Pelodiscus sinensis: one gene and its partner. The protein of the gene in region 2 interacts with the protein of the main gene of each other region in a biochemical or structural test. Links are inferred from orthologs where the notes say so. Each region holds a gene or a part of one and is shown on either strand. Other genes may lie near its edges.

Region 1 (7,261 bases), on a different chromosome or scaffold from region 2:
ATTCTCTTGGTCGCAACAACCTTGCGGCCTACTGAGATGAAGGAGGGCCTCTCTTGGGGTCCCATCGCTAGTCCAGGTTGCCCCTCCCTGTTCTAAACAAAGGACCGAAGGACTCGTCCAAGCTGTGGGTGGCTTCCTGAGATTTGGCTTACGCCAGCGGTTCATTCCAACGCCGGTACAAGCCTGAGCCAAGAGCTTGGCAAGTGTCGTGTGTATTTAATGTAACTGTTGTAACTGTCGTCCTTTCTCTTCTTTTTACAAATAAACCTTTAGGCTATGTCTACACTGGCAGGTTCTTGCGCAAGGCTTCTTGTGCAAGAACACGTCCACACTGCCATGTGCTTTTGCACAAGAGCATCTGTGGCAGCGTGGACGCTCTCTTGCGCAAGAAAGCTCTGATGGCCATTTTAGCCGTAGGGCTTTCTTGCGCAAGACACCTCTGCCGTGCAGCCACACTGCCTTCTTGCACAAGAGCCCCTGCGCCAGAGAGCTGACACCTGTTAGACAAGAGCGTAGCTCTTGTGCAAGAAGCCCTCTTCCGACACTGTACTGTACGTCTTCTTGTGCAAGAGCGGGCGGGCAGTGTGGACGCTCTGCGGGTTCTTGCGCAAGAACTCGCCAGTGTAGACCTAGCCTTAGAGCTTAGTTACTAAGGGGTTGGCAACCACGTGATTGCTTGGGTCTGATCGAAGGTGTAAACTGAGCTGGGCATGAGGCTGGCCCTCTGGGAGCGGGAGAATTTGTCCGGATTGGTTCACATCACCTCCCCTTGGGGAACGTGGGGGTGGGGGGGCTACTGGCGGTGATGCAGGGGAGCGGGAGGGTCTGAGGGGGTTGCTTGTGGGACTTCTTGCTGGCCAGGGTAGGGGAACAGACGCGCTCTTTGCGACTGTTTGGTGCTTTATCGCAGGGAGCTCCAGTCGTGGGCTGTAGGACTGTCTCAAAGCAATTCGTTCTGAGCTGAGACTCTCTGGAGTGTCCCCCCAGAGCCCTTTTGTTACAGGGGACAGGGGGCACCAGCTCCCATCCACCCCCAGGGCAGGGACAGGCTGGCTCAGAAGGGTGGGGAAGGGGGCCTGGAGCCTTTCCCCTCCATGGCTGCTGTAGCTGGCTGTGGCTTCCAGTTGCTTTGTGGCCCCTGCCTGAAAGGGGTTCACTGGGTCTCTGCCCGGTTCCCAACAGGCTGGACCACAGCGCCTAAGCCCCGCTCTGCCCCTGAGAAGTGGGTCTCCCTAGTGTGAGGGGACCAGAGGCTCATGGAGCCGGGGGCTGCTTCGGGTGAGGCTTGGGGCCCAGCTGTCTCAGGGTGTCTACCGTCAAGGCCTGCCCTACCCTGGGGCGCTGGCGGGAATGGGCCATACTCTATGCAGCTCCTTGAGATGGGCCCTCAGTCCCATAGGATGGGGATGTGCCTCCATCATGCCCTACGGCTATTTTGGACTACAGACCCTACAAGAACAGCGGCTGAGCTGCAGTGTCATGATTCCAGAGAGACCCTACAATAACAATTCCACTGCTCGGGAAAGACCCTACAATGGGGGGGCGGGAAACCCATTAAATAAAGAGAGCTGAAACCGGCGGAAGAAATGCAAAGAGCTGCACCAGAATTGTCGAGCAAAAAAAAAACCACACACTGCCCCTTTAAAAAAACATGGGCTTGGGCTTTTGGGCCATAGCAGGCTCCCATTGGCTGCCGCCATCTTGCAGCTCCCATTTTCAATCACCTCCGGATGGCTCCCTGCCCCGGTGAGCACAGGGGGCCGATTGGAGGGGCGCTGGGGCAGCTTTGCAAGCCACGGGGGAGGCTGTGTGAGTTGCACTTTTGGGGGGGTGGGGAGAGCCGCATTCGGTTCACGAACCACGGGTTGACCACCCCTGCCCTACAATAACAAACCAGTACCCCTCCTCCACTGCCACAGGAGACCCTATAACAGCAAACCAGTGGGTGCGAGCCTGGGAGGGGGGCGGCTTGTGCAGTCCTTCGCTGCGCTGCCTGTTTGGCCCCTCTCTTCGGGCCGGCAGGGGCGGGGGCCATCACGTAGGAACCTGACGTGCAGACGGATCGAATGGATCATCTCCTTGGGTTAAGGGATCACCAGATGGGGTCAGACTGGTCCCCGTGTCCAGTTTGGGGCTCATCACAGTAGGCCAAGGGACCTGAGAAACGTGGCATCAGGCTGGGTCAAAGAGTCACCTGACTGGGTCTAGAGGCCATCAGGCCGAGATGGCTTGGTGATGGCTGGATGGAAGCTGCTTTAGCGGGATACCTCCTGGGCAGCGGAGGACGTGAGGGAAGAAACAGAACAGCCGAGCCGTCTTCTCCAAGATCAGTCCCGTCCCTCAAGCAAAGGAAGACAGGAGGCTGGAGATTCTGGAGGTGAAGTGCTTGCTAGGTTAGCGGCGGAGGGTTTGGGGTTATTTGAACATTTGACCGCCTTCCGCGGGGAGAAGGGGTGAACATAAGAATAGCCAGACTGGGTCATAGCAAAGGTCCATAGCCCAGCGTCCTGTCTTTCGACCGTGTCCAATACCAGTTGCCCCAGAAGGGAATCATCAAGTAATCCCTCTCCTGTCATCCATTTCCAGCCCCTGGCCAACAGAGGCTAGGGATACCATTCCTACCCACCCCAGCTAATAGCTATTGATGGACCGAATCTCCATGAATTTATCTAGTTCTTTCTTGACACCCGTTAAAATCCTGGTCTTCACAACCTCCTCTGGCGAGGAGTTCCACAGGTTGGCTGTGCACTGTGTGAAAAAAAACGTCCTTTTGTTTGTTTTAAACCTGCTACCTACTAATTTCATCTGGTGACCCCCTACTTTTCTTATGTTGTGGGAACAAGTAAATAACTTTTTTCCTTATTCACTTTCTCCATACCTGGCATGATTTTATAGACTTTTTTTTCTAAGCTGAAAAGTCCCAGTCTTTTTAATTTCTTTTCATATGGCACCTGTTGCAAACCCCTCAAGGTATAACGGTTGGACGCCTCCAGCTGAAGAGAAGAGGGCCCAATCTCCTTGTGGACAAGCTGGCTAGAGTAGCGCGTGTGTGTGTGCCACACAATTAGCAAGAGGAGCCTGCAGAAACCGCAAAGAGATGAGCACATTGCACAACATTGAGGTGCTGAGAAATAAATTCACCACAATTCATGAAGGCTGTTGATCAACTGGAGAGGGGTCAGAGAAGAGCCAGGAGAAAGGAGAAAGGGTTAGAAAACCTGCTGTACTGTGACAGACTCACGGAGCCCAATCTAGTCCATTAAGCAAAGAGAAGCTAATTGAGTTTCTAAGTACCTATGTGGGGAATAAATGTTTAATAACAAGCTCTTCGATCTAGCAAAGAAAAGTCTAAGCTGCTTCCGTGGCTGGAAATTAGAGCCAGACAAATTCAGGTTGGTACGAAGGCGTCCGTTAATTAACCGTCGGCACAACTTACCACGTGTCCCAGTGGATTCGCCATCCCTGGGAATGTTTCACTCCAGACTGGATGTTTTCCTAAGAGACGGGGTCTGGGAATTACTGGGGGGGGGGGGGGGGGGGGCAGGGCTGTGGCCTGTGCTAGACAGGGGGTCAGACTAGATGCTCCTATGAATCTGCGCCAGGCCGAGAAGTCCTTGTGCTGGGTCAAGGAAGCCAACACGTGGGGCCAAGGGGACTTCTCTGTGGGTAGGTGTCCCAGCTGCACAGGGGAGGCCGGATATTTGTCTTGGGTGGGGGCCTATTTCCCTCCCCACCCCCACCCCCGTCCTGGGTTTTCTCCCTGGCGGCGCGGCCACCTGCCCCCGCGAGGAGCCGCCGGGTCAGATCCCATCAGGGCAGCCCCCCCCCGGGGCCGGGGTCAGTGCACGGGGCCAAGGGCTCAACAGGCAGCGGGGGAGGGGGGGGGGGGGGTCACAGTGTCACCCTGCCAGACCTGGGGGGGGAGCAGGGCTGGGGTCATCAGGGCAGGTCAAAGGTCATGGGGCAGGTCAAAGGGTCAGCAGGGTGGGTCAAAGGTCAATCTATTGGGCAGGGAGTCAAGGGGGCGGGGCCAAAGCCTCACGGGAGGTGAGGGGTCAAGGGGGGCGGGGCCACGCAACCATGGGGGCGGGGCCAAGGGGAGGACAGAGGGAGGCGGGGCGCGGCGCAGCTTCCCGGCGTCATGGGAGAGGCAGGAAGTGACGTCACGGCGAGGGCGGAAGCCCGGCGGGGGAGCAGGGCGGAAGTGAGGGCGGGCGGCGGCTTCCGCTTCCGGTGCGGAGGGTCCAGCAGCCGCGGCCGCTCTAGCGCCGAGCGGAGCCTCCGGGGCCCCTAGAGCCGGGCGAGAGCGCCCCTCCCCCACCGGCCCGGGGACCCCCCCCCCCAAGTGACACCCCCTCAGGGCGGGACTCAGCCCCCCCCCCCCCGGCTTCTCCGCCCGATCTGAGCCCCCCCGCCCGGGGAGCCCCCCCCCACTGGGCCAAGGGGGCAGCCCCCCCCCGCGCGGGGCCCTGACATGCCCCCCCTGGGCCCGCGCCCCGCCCGGGGATAGGGGGGGATCAGAGGGGGTGGGTCGGTGGGCGAGAGACCCCCCCGCCCGCCCCTGAACCCCCCCCCGCCAGCGCCGCGGGGCCTGAACCCGGACGGGGGGTGACCCCGGGGGCTGGTCCGCCCCCCCCCCCCCCCGCCGGGCGGCGGCCCCGGTGCCCCGCGAAGCTTCTTCCGTCCCGGCCCCCGCGGGGGACGCGAGGTGAGTCCTGCGCGGGGCGCGTCTCGGCTCCGCTGGCAGCAGGGCCTAGGGGTTAGCGCGCCTGGAGCTCTTCTCTGCCTCAGTTTCCCCACCTGTGAAATCCGCTCCCCCTTCGCCGCTTTGGGGACCCTCCCCCCCCCCCGGGCGCTGCCAGCGAGGGCGGCCGCCCTGGGCTCTGCTTTCTGCGAGCCGGCGAGCGTGGGAGGTGAGAGGGACTCGTCCCTCTGAGTCAGCGCCGGTGCCAACTGCCGATCACCCCTTTGACGGGCTGGCGGCGCGCCCCGCGCTGTCCAGAGTTCACGGGAGGGCCGGGCTGCCCTGGCAGGGGAGATCGGGCTGGTGCCTTCGGCTCGGGCTGGGGGGCAGCTTGCAGAGGCTGGAGAGAAGGCCAGTGCTGCCCAGCATGGGGGATCTGGGCCCCGGGTGTTGTGGAGGGGGGGCCAGGCTGTCATGCCCGCCCCGGCTTTGCAGGGTGGCCAAAGGGGACAGGGGAGGCCGTTTGGGGAATCCAGAAGAGGCCCGTCTTGTACCCACACGGGGGTGGGAGGGCACGGGAGTGCGACTGGTGGTGCCTAATCTGGGGGCCTGGTGTAGGAGTGTGTGAGGCAGGGAAGGATTGGTCTGGGGACACGGTGCTTGGGGGGAGTGGGGCTGACCCAGGGAGATCCCTGGGCAGGGAGGGGGTGAGTGGGGCTGGCCCAGAGGCGGGGAGGGAATTGGAGGAAAAGGGGAGGCAGGCAGGCTGGCTGGCTGGCCAGCGGCCTTGACCACCGCAGGGAGTGGTTCTAATCCCCCAGCTCAGCCTTCTCTCTCACGTGGTTCATTGTCACGTCCAGACCCTCCCTGTCTGGCTGCCCGGCAGCCCAAGCAGGTTTATGGGCAGCCCATGGCACAGTGGGGGGGGGGGGGGTAGCTGACTCGTGGGGTGAGAGAGAAACTCTCCACAGCCTGGATGATTTATGGTCCCCCGAGAGGGCTCCCGGAAGTGCCTTTGTGCTGTTGTATCCCCACCTGCTCCCACCCCTCTCTGGAGAGCTACCGGGGCTGGGGACAGCTGGCCGGTTTGGACAGGGAGCTGACGGGGAGATCAGGACGGTGCTGTGCGGATCCCAGCTAGCGTGGTGGATCCCAGCTGGTTCCCTTCCATCTGCCTCCTCGCCGGGCGTGGTGCTTGGCGCTCGCAGAGCCGGGAGTCCCCTCAGGTGCAGCTCTGGGGCACCCATCTGGGCCTCTGGCTAGCGAGGGGCTGATCTGAGCAGTCGGGTCTCCCCCGTGTCATTGTGCCGCTCCTCTTGGCTTTCTGCTACCGGAGCCAGGGAACTGTTGCAAAATCCCCGCGGGGGATAGGCCCCTGCCGCCCGGTCAATTTCATAGTCGGCCCCAAACCTGCTGGAGCCTGTTGGTCCACCCTTCACGGGTGAGGGGCGGGACTCCCACTCCCCAGGGCTCTGGGGGTTGGGTCTGACATGAGACCCCCTGGGATTGGCAGGGCGTGGAGGGGGTGTGAGAAGAGCTGCGACAAGCCCTCCGACCAGCGTGTGGTTATGGGAAGGTCCAGTGGGTAGGAGGCAGATTAGTGCTTAGAGCAGGGAGGCAGGACTCCTGGGTTCTCTTCCCAGCTTTGGGTGGGGGGGTCTAGTGGTTAGAACGGGCAGGGGCTGGGAGCCAGGATTCCTGGGTTCTCTCCCTGCCCTCTCTCCATGAAGCGGGGGGTGGCCTGCATGGGAAGAAGGGGAGGGGGTTCCCTGAGTCCCAGGAGCACTGCAGGACCACTGCATGGGCTCTGAGGGCCAGGGGGAACCTGCATTCCACCCCCTGGAGGTCTCCAGCCCCTGCAGCTCCCGGGTCCCAGCTGGCAGCAGCCAGAGGGGAAGGAAGTGAGGCCTTGTGCCTTTCTGAGTCATGGCGCCAGGACGCCTGGAGCTTTCCTTCCTTCCCCCGGCGCTCGCCGGGCTCTGCTCCGTGGCTCCGATCCCTGGGTCCGGAGATGTGGCTGCCTCTGGGGTAGAGCTGGGTGCTGGTTATCCAGGCACCCATCCCTGGTGCTGGGGTGCGGCCCCTCTGGGGCAGAGCATGGGGAGCGGGTCACCTGCACGCCCCTAGCCCCAGGCTAACACACGTCTGGCTGCGGGGCCGGCTGTGACGGGAGGGGCGAGTCCCTCCCCCACCCCCACAGTGCGGCGCCCCCAGAGCTCTGTGTCTCTTCCTTCCCCGGGGCCTTTGGCTGGAGGCTGAATTCCAGCTGCGCTTGGCGTCCAGCCGCTGGGGGCTCCAACCACTGGCTGCTGCTGCCTCCCGCCAGCTTGGGTGCGTTCTCTCCTGGGTCTAGACCCCCCCCGACCCCTCCCAGAGTTAGTGCTCCCTGCCCGCACGCTCCCGCCGGGGAGGGACAGAGGAGGCCCCGGAAGCCAGTCCCCCCCGGGGGAGTGTCGGACTCCTGGCTCCCAGCCCCCCTTTTGAGCCCCAGAGCCTGGGAGAGAACCCAGGAGTCTCCTGCTCTAACCACTAGCCCCCACTCTCCTCCCAGTGCTGGGGGGAGAACCCTGCCCCCCT
Region 2 (7,227 bases):
ACCCACAAAGGATGGTGCAGATTTGGGAATCTCTCTAATGTCCTCAGCAGTGAAGACTGAAGCAAAGAAATCATTTAGTTTAACCGCAATGGCTTTATCGTCCTTGATTGCTCTTTTTATATCTCGATTGTCTAGGGAACCCACAGGTTTGTTAGAAGGCTTCCTGCTTCTAATATACTTAAAAACATTTTGTTATTTCTTTTTCAGCTTTTGGCTAACTGTTCCTCAAAATCTTTTTTGCTTTTCTTACTACATTTTTACACTTGATTTGACAGTGTTTATGTTCCTTTCTATTTATCTCACTAGGATTGGACTTCCACTTCTTAAAATATGCCTTCTTGTTCCTCACTGCTTCTTTTACATGGTGGTTAAGCCACGGTGACTCTTTTTTAGGTCTCTTGCTATGTTTTTTAATTTGGGGTATACATTTAAGTTGGGCCTCTATTATAGGGTCATTAAAAAGTTTCCATGCAGCTTGCAGGGATTTGGCACTAGTCATTGTGCCTTTTCATTTCTGTTTAACTAACCTCCTCCTTATTCCATATTCTTTGAAAGACCACCGAGCTCAATATTTTAAAATATAAATATAACAGATTTGTAAAAATGTATAGTCTATATATTAAATATTTAAACAAAAACTCACAGTTCATTTTATTTACTCAATCCACCAGACAACATTTAGGATAAATACAAATCTGTCAACAGTTTAGAAATCATGGAATTACGGTCACTACTCTGTCCTTATTTTTCCATGTATTATAGAAACTTGATCAGTTATAGCTAAAGGAAAAGAAACAGTCATATTTTATAACTCAAGTGCCTGCATAACTTACCTAAAAAAAGGTTATAATATAGTTTTATCATCATGTATAAAATGTTAGGTAGAGTTCCAGATGACCATAAATGTCCTTAGAATAAGTATTTTATACCATTTACAATAAAGACTTTGTGAGTTCTGTATCTGAGTTCTGTCACTTATTGGCTATGTGGCCAAATATATACTTAATATGAAGAGCAAAGCACCTCAATGCTGACTCAAGTACTCAGTATTTATAGAATCAAACCCTAATCCTCATAGCATAACTTGCACAGTAAGTACAATATTATTTATCCACTGAGGTTGTAAGGTTCACTGATTTTGAAGTATTTTGTATGAAAGGTGCAATATATAAAAGCAAAATTACATATTGTATACTAGCATTTTGTACACACATGTATAGTATTTCTGAAAGGAAACTGTAACAGGAATAGACAGCATAATTGAAGGCATAATGTTACTCATTAAATAATTAATACCTTTCCAAGTATCAAGTCTGTCAGCCCAGATTTTTTCAAGAAAGCAGCAGCATCAGAAGCCACCACTCTTCCAGTGTTACTAGAATCAACCTGTGAAAGATACCACCACTGATTAGTACCCAGAACTGCTACAAAATACACATTCTTAATCAGCAGGCTACCAGAGAAGAATGCCCCCCCTCTCTCTTTTGAATTCTAAAGCAACTAAATTCTCTTCGGTGTATTTTAACAGCTTCCTTTCAAAATAAATGCATTTTACATTAGAACAGATGCATTTTAAAGCGGGTGCTAGAATGAATCCACTATTTTTCTTAAACTTAACCTAACTATAAAATATTATCCACACTTTGTACTCAGGAGTTAATGCAAGGGAATGAAATATTTTTACATTAATTTTTATTTATAAACATACAGAAATGTATCTATTTAATACAGGTTGAACCTCTCTAATCCAGAACTCTCTGGTCCAGCAACATCTGTGGTCTGCCAGGAGTAGCATTCAAGATTTTTCAACCTTTAATTACACTTGAGTTTTAAGGTCTTCAACAAAAGGTACAGGATTTCAAGTATACATCTGAGCAATACTCAAATAAATCAATGTACAATAAAGATCTTATCTGGATGAGACCACCACATGATTCTCTTCCAATCAGTTCTTCCCAATTGCAGATTTTCTCCTTTAGTAACTCCTTTAGTAACCATGCCTTCAAAGCATCAGACTTATATGTACATACCAAAATCCTCAGGAGGTAGGTTAAGCTTAATGGAGTAGTTCAGAGTTCATTACTAATATGCCCTGGAAAAGTCTGCAATGTCAACTTTTCCTGTCCTGAAGGAAACGGCATATCCAGGAAGTCAATGATAATGTTGGCAAGGCACTTAGGTACAAGATTGCATTTTCCCACATTTACAGAGCGGTACCTAGGACTGGATGTGACCTCATCTCCCGAGGGAACAAAACGTTCATAGCCAAATATCAGATGGAAAAGAATAAACTGCAAGCTTTGAGTGTCTGTAAAGTACCAACCACATGAAATTATAGCGGCCTAGCTACAAAAATTCAAGAAGGAGAGATTAATATCTCCTTTGTTTTGGTCTTTGACAAGACAATTACTGATGTTCTTTTGATCGTACCTGTTTTTTTGAGGCTGGCAGACAAGATGCCACCTTATGACAAGGCCCAGGGGCTTCACTGAACAATGACAAACAGAAGTGCTTTTGGGCAGCTTCGTTTGATCCATCAGCTGCGACCCTTCCTGAACAAGCATGAATTGGCAACAGCGATCCACGCTCTTGTTACATCCCAACAGGATTAGTGTAATGCACTTTATATGGGGCTGCCTCTAAAGAACCTTCGGAAACGTCAACTGGTCCAGAATCTTAAGACTGCTCGAATCTTAACTAATACTCGTTATATAGAGCACATTATGCCAGTGCTTCAGCAGCTGCACTGGCTTCTAGTATGTTTCCGGGCACACTTTAAGGTTTTAGTCACGATCGATAAAGCCTTAAAAGAGTTGGGTCCGGGGTATCTGAAGGACCGTCTTCTCCCATATGAACCTGCCCAGAGATTGAGGTCAGCTGGGGAGGCTTTGCTTCATGTTCCCCCACTTGTGGAGATAAGATTAACATTTGTGCAGAACAGGGCCTTCTCAGCTTTTGTTCCCAGACTGTGGAATTCTCTTCCTCGGGATATTCTCATGGCACTAACACTAACATTGTTTCGGTGTCAGGCTAAAGCCACCCTTTTTACTCGTGCTTTTATTAATGTTTGAGTCTGTATGTGTGTGTTTCTCTTCTCTATATGTTTTTAGCACATTTTATGTCCCTCTGGAGTCTTATATTTTAAATTTTTATATATATTTGTATTGTGTTTAAACAGTTTTTTATAAGTCGCCTTGAATATTTTAAATAGAGAGGCAGGGTAAAAATATTTAAATAAAATAAAATAAAATAAAATAAAATAAAATAAAATAAAGTCTGGGTCACCTGTGTGTTAGTATTGTTAAAAATAACATCAGAATTATAGGAATGTGTTTAGATTTCATGAAAAGTTTCTAGAGGTCTGCATGTATTTCACCTTATAAATATTACTAGAAGATGTATTCAGCCTTGCTCTGGTCTATAACGGAAGAGGTGAGGTTTTTTAGGAAAAAGAAACGAAAATGTATTATTTCAATGATATTTCAAAAATGAAGGCAGGCGTGAGAGATCAAGGGTGAGGAGAGGCAGAGTGGCAGACGTTTGGGAGATATGGGGAGGGCTCAGGATAGGAGGAGGGGATGCTAAAAAGTCAAGGCAGGTAGGAGTCAGAGCTGGGAAATGGGGAGGGCTTACCAGGGCCACCCATGGCAGCAAGGGCAGCACTGCTCTGGTGGCAACTCCTTCCGGGGGGCCGTGGCAGCACTCCCCTGCCAGCAAGCCCCGCAACTGTCCTCCCCCACAGCCTATCGGGAAGAAGCGAGGCCCTCTCATGCAGCAACACTGCGGCAGCCTGCAGCCACCAGCCTATAGTTTGTTGGGGGTTGAGGCTCGGGGGACTTTCCCCCTTCATCTAACCCCCACCCGCATATATTCCCCTGTGGCCTACAGGCTGCCTGTAGAGGAGCCAGGCTGTGGGGATGCCCTCACCTTCAGCGCCCTCCCCATGCCCTGAGGTCTCTCCATGATGGAGTGTGGGGACAGGCTCCAGGTTTGAGGTGGGGGGCTCCTTACCAGTGTGTTGGCAGGCAAGAAGGCAGAATCCAAGCCCTTCTGGCCATTTTCTTGGCGCGGCAGATACCACCAGTAGCTGCTCTCAGTATCACGTCCCTCCTCTCTGTGCCCCTCCCTTTCACGTTCTTCCTCTCTCTGTCCCCTCCCTTTCCATGTTACGGGAAATAGTCCCATTCCCAGAACTTTCCATTTTCCAAGCACAATCAAACCCTGACCTTGGTTTAAGTTAGGGTAAGAGGAAGCTGCATATCAAATTTCATAGTCATAGCTCTTATGAGGAGGAGTTCTTGAACAAACGGGCAGACACTCTCTAAAATACATATACAGATAACAAGGGGTACATTAAGGATTTGTTCTTGAAGCACAAAAATGTTTGCTAAAAACCGTAAAACTTCAGTCACGAAAGAAGCATTACCAAACGTAAAATATTAGTTTGCCACAAGAGGTCTCATCTACTCCCCGGAAAAAGGCGGCATATATTGACACAAATAAAATCATAGTAAAGCGCATCAGTGAACAAAAGACTGCATTGATTGCTTCCCCACATCCATGAAGCAGATATGTACAAAAGCACTCATCCTATAATTGCCTGAACAGTGGGGGAATGCATAAAAATCTGTGTCAAGGAGAAATTAACATTATACTGCCTGGAATTTGGAGATGGCACATTTCCAATCATAACCAAAGGATCCCTTAGTTGCTTAGCCCTGAAGAGTTTACATATTACAAGAGCTTCTATTATCTTTTGTAGTTAGTTTAATCACAGGACTGGCTTCAAACATTATCTTTGGTAACAGATCTAAGAGTAAACTAATGTGGAGTAATGGACAGATCCTCTGGTACTGGGAGTAGCATGACTATTATTGTGGTTTTTTTGGTGAAACGGACCATCTGCTACAAAGGCAAACTTGCCTGGGTGGCAAGCTATACAAGAGAGACCAAAGAAATTGTCTGTGGTTTCATGTTAAAATTGTCAGAGTGCTTTAGACGTTCACACTTGTTATCTGGTTGGTGAAATTTAATTATAGAACATACAATCAGTTTGAGGTTTGGACTTTGTTTCTTGACATTCTGCCTTGAGGTTAGATCTCATGCTCATGAGCTACTCTAGACAGCTCAACAATTTTAGCTAGCTCTTTTATACCAAGTAAGAAGAAGTACAGGGAGGATTTCAAGAAAGTCTTTCATTTTATCAAGCTGACTCAGCTTAAGTTAGTAATGGAAAATCTTAAAGTAAAGCCACATAAAAACTTATTTAGCATGATTGCTTTAGTTATCGTAGGCAAAATTTGTATGCACCATCTTCCCAGATTTCAATCCATCAGAAGATCACTAAGAAAAAACAAGCTCTCAACTTCATCATATTTACAGATACACCAGACAGTATACTGTACTGGCCTTCACTGTTTCTGTAAAGGATCAAATGTAATCCTGCATTTCACATGTAATCGTCTACAAAAACAAACTCATTATGTTTATCATAGATTGTAATGCCCTGAAATTCTGAAGGATTTGACAGCTATTACAAGCAATATAAAGGATAGAGAAAAATAAAATGAGGACACTTTTGCTTTCAGCCCCTCTTTAAAGTCCAAGATTGATCAGAAGCTGATCAAGCAAAATAATGAAAATGGAAAAGAATGCTGTGTGATGGAATTAAATTAATATCCTAAATTAATTTGGCCAATACTTTAAAACATTAATTCCAGAGGCAGAAAGGGCATTTACTAATCCCAACCAGGTTCTTTTTAATCTGTTGAGTTGATCAGTCAAGTGTAATTTTCACAAAATATTACGATTTGTAGTTCTCCAGGGAATAAATTGACAACGGTTAATGAGAAGTTATGCTAGAGATAAGCATTTTGAAGCACACTATTGAATTTTCTCTAATATGTTCTTTCTTAGATTGGTAAGTATCTACAGGCTTTTGGATTGTCTTTTGAAGCCAAGGGTGAGATGATATTGTCTTGCAAAACCAATGGACAATTCTCCCTGTTTAAGGGATTAACAGAACATTTGAGGTATTCAGAGCACTACACACGCCTAAAGACATTTATAGAATTCACTGACAAAAGCCTTGATAAAAATGCCATTTGGAAAATATATTGGAACAGGTTCACCTTCATGTGTTCATATTTTCACTTCTAGTGGTAATTTTTGTTCTCTAGCAAACTCAGCAAGATTTTACAGGCTGGAAGCAACTACTGTGAATTTGCGATTTAGTGAAAGTCTGAAGTTGAATGAAGTTTTTACCAGAACTCTACATATCGCCTGAGTTTATCATCAGTACTTTTATTTCTTACAGTAGTGGGCTCAATATTCAGGGATTTAATGGGATGGTATACTTGTGCAAGCTTATGGTTGTCTTTTTTTTCCCTCTCCCTCTTTAAAACCACTAGTATGTTATAAGGAGCTCTCTGCAATGTGCAACTAATGCAACTGTAGTGTCAAATACAGCCTCATTTTATACTCAGTGGGTCCTCATGTAGTTTTGGCATCCATTCAGAAAAGAGCTGGTGGATCAATGTTCTTCCACTATTCAAGGAAACCCCAGAGTTATATTGAGTCAGCATTGTCTATTTTTAAATCTTCAACTCTATCCTCTAGGAAGATCATTTTTTGAGGAGTGAAGACAGGTGACTGTCATTTGAATGGATTCTGACAAGGTTACTTTTTTGTTCCCCGATGTTAGGCTCATTTCAGAATAAGCTTTCCATTCAATTAGTTTTAGATTTAGATTGCAGGGAATTACCGGGTGTATGGCTCAGGTGTTTTGACCATTTCCCTGATTTGCTCTCACTGTTTTCATGTTTAGCGTCCTGAGAGTATGGTTATCAAAGCTATCTTCAGTAATATTAAAAAGGATTTTTTTTAGATTTAAAGAGATACAGATACATTTGATTTAAATCATTAGAATGTAGAAAAATAGTACTTGGAATGCGAATACTATTTCAACTAGAAAAAAATTCAACTAGAAGCTCAGAAACATTGCTTAGATACTATCCTGAATGACATCACTTCATGGATTTCATTTTTTTAAATCACTTCTAATTTGTAAATTTCCAAGTTACATCTCTCTAATGGGAGATATTTGTCCTAACCACATCATGCCAGAGATATTCCAGTTGAGTTTGATAAGACATGACTCGGACAGGAATTAGAAGGGAGTGTGTGCTGGAGATGTGCCCAGCTCTCACAGTAAATATCAGGTAGTTT

What was found.
Region 1: the proteins of EPS15 (region 2) and EPN1 form a complex in vitro, tested with the Homo sapiens proteins (4 studies listed by BioGRID and IntAct, with this or other methods). The link is inferred for Pelodiscus sinensis from reciprocal best matches to the Homo sapiens genes EPS15 and EPN1.

The regions. Positions count from the first base shown.
Region 1 is NW_027465849.1:3,116,167-3,123,427, reverse strand, and holds the start of EPN1 (epsin-1), read left to right. Parts: upstream 1-4,203; 5' UTR 4,204-4,708; intron 4,709-7,261. UniProt on the Homo sapiens protein: Binds to membranes enriched in phosphatidylinositol 4,5-bisphosphate (PtdIns(4,5)P2). Modifies membrane curvature and facilitates the formation of clathrin-coated invaginations. Regulates receptor-mediated endocytosis.
Region 2 is NC_134719.1:8,705,515-8,712,741, forward strand, and holds the start of EPS15 (epidermal growth factor receptor substrate 15), read right to left. Parts: upstream 3,037-7,227; 5' UTR 1,999-3,036; coding exon 1,900-1,998; intron 1,387-1,899; coding exon 1,297-1,386; intron 1-1,296. UniProt on the Homo sapiens protein: Involved in cell growth regulation. May be involved in the regulation of mitogenic signals and control of cell proliferation. Involved in the internalization of ligand-inducible receptors of the receptor tyrosine kinase (RTK) type, in particular EGFR.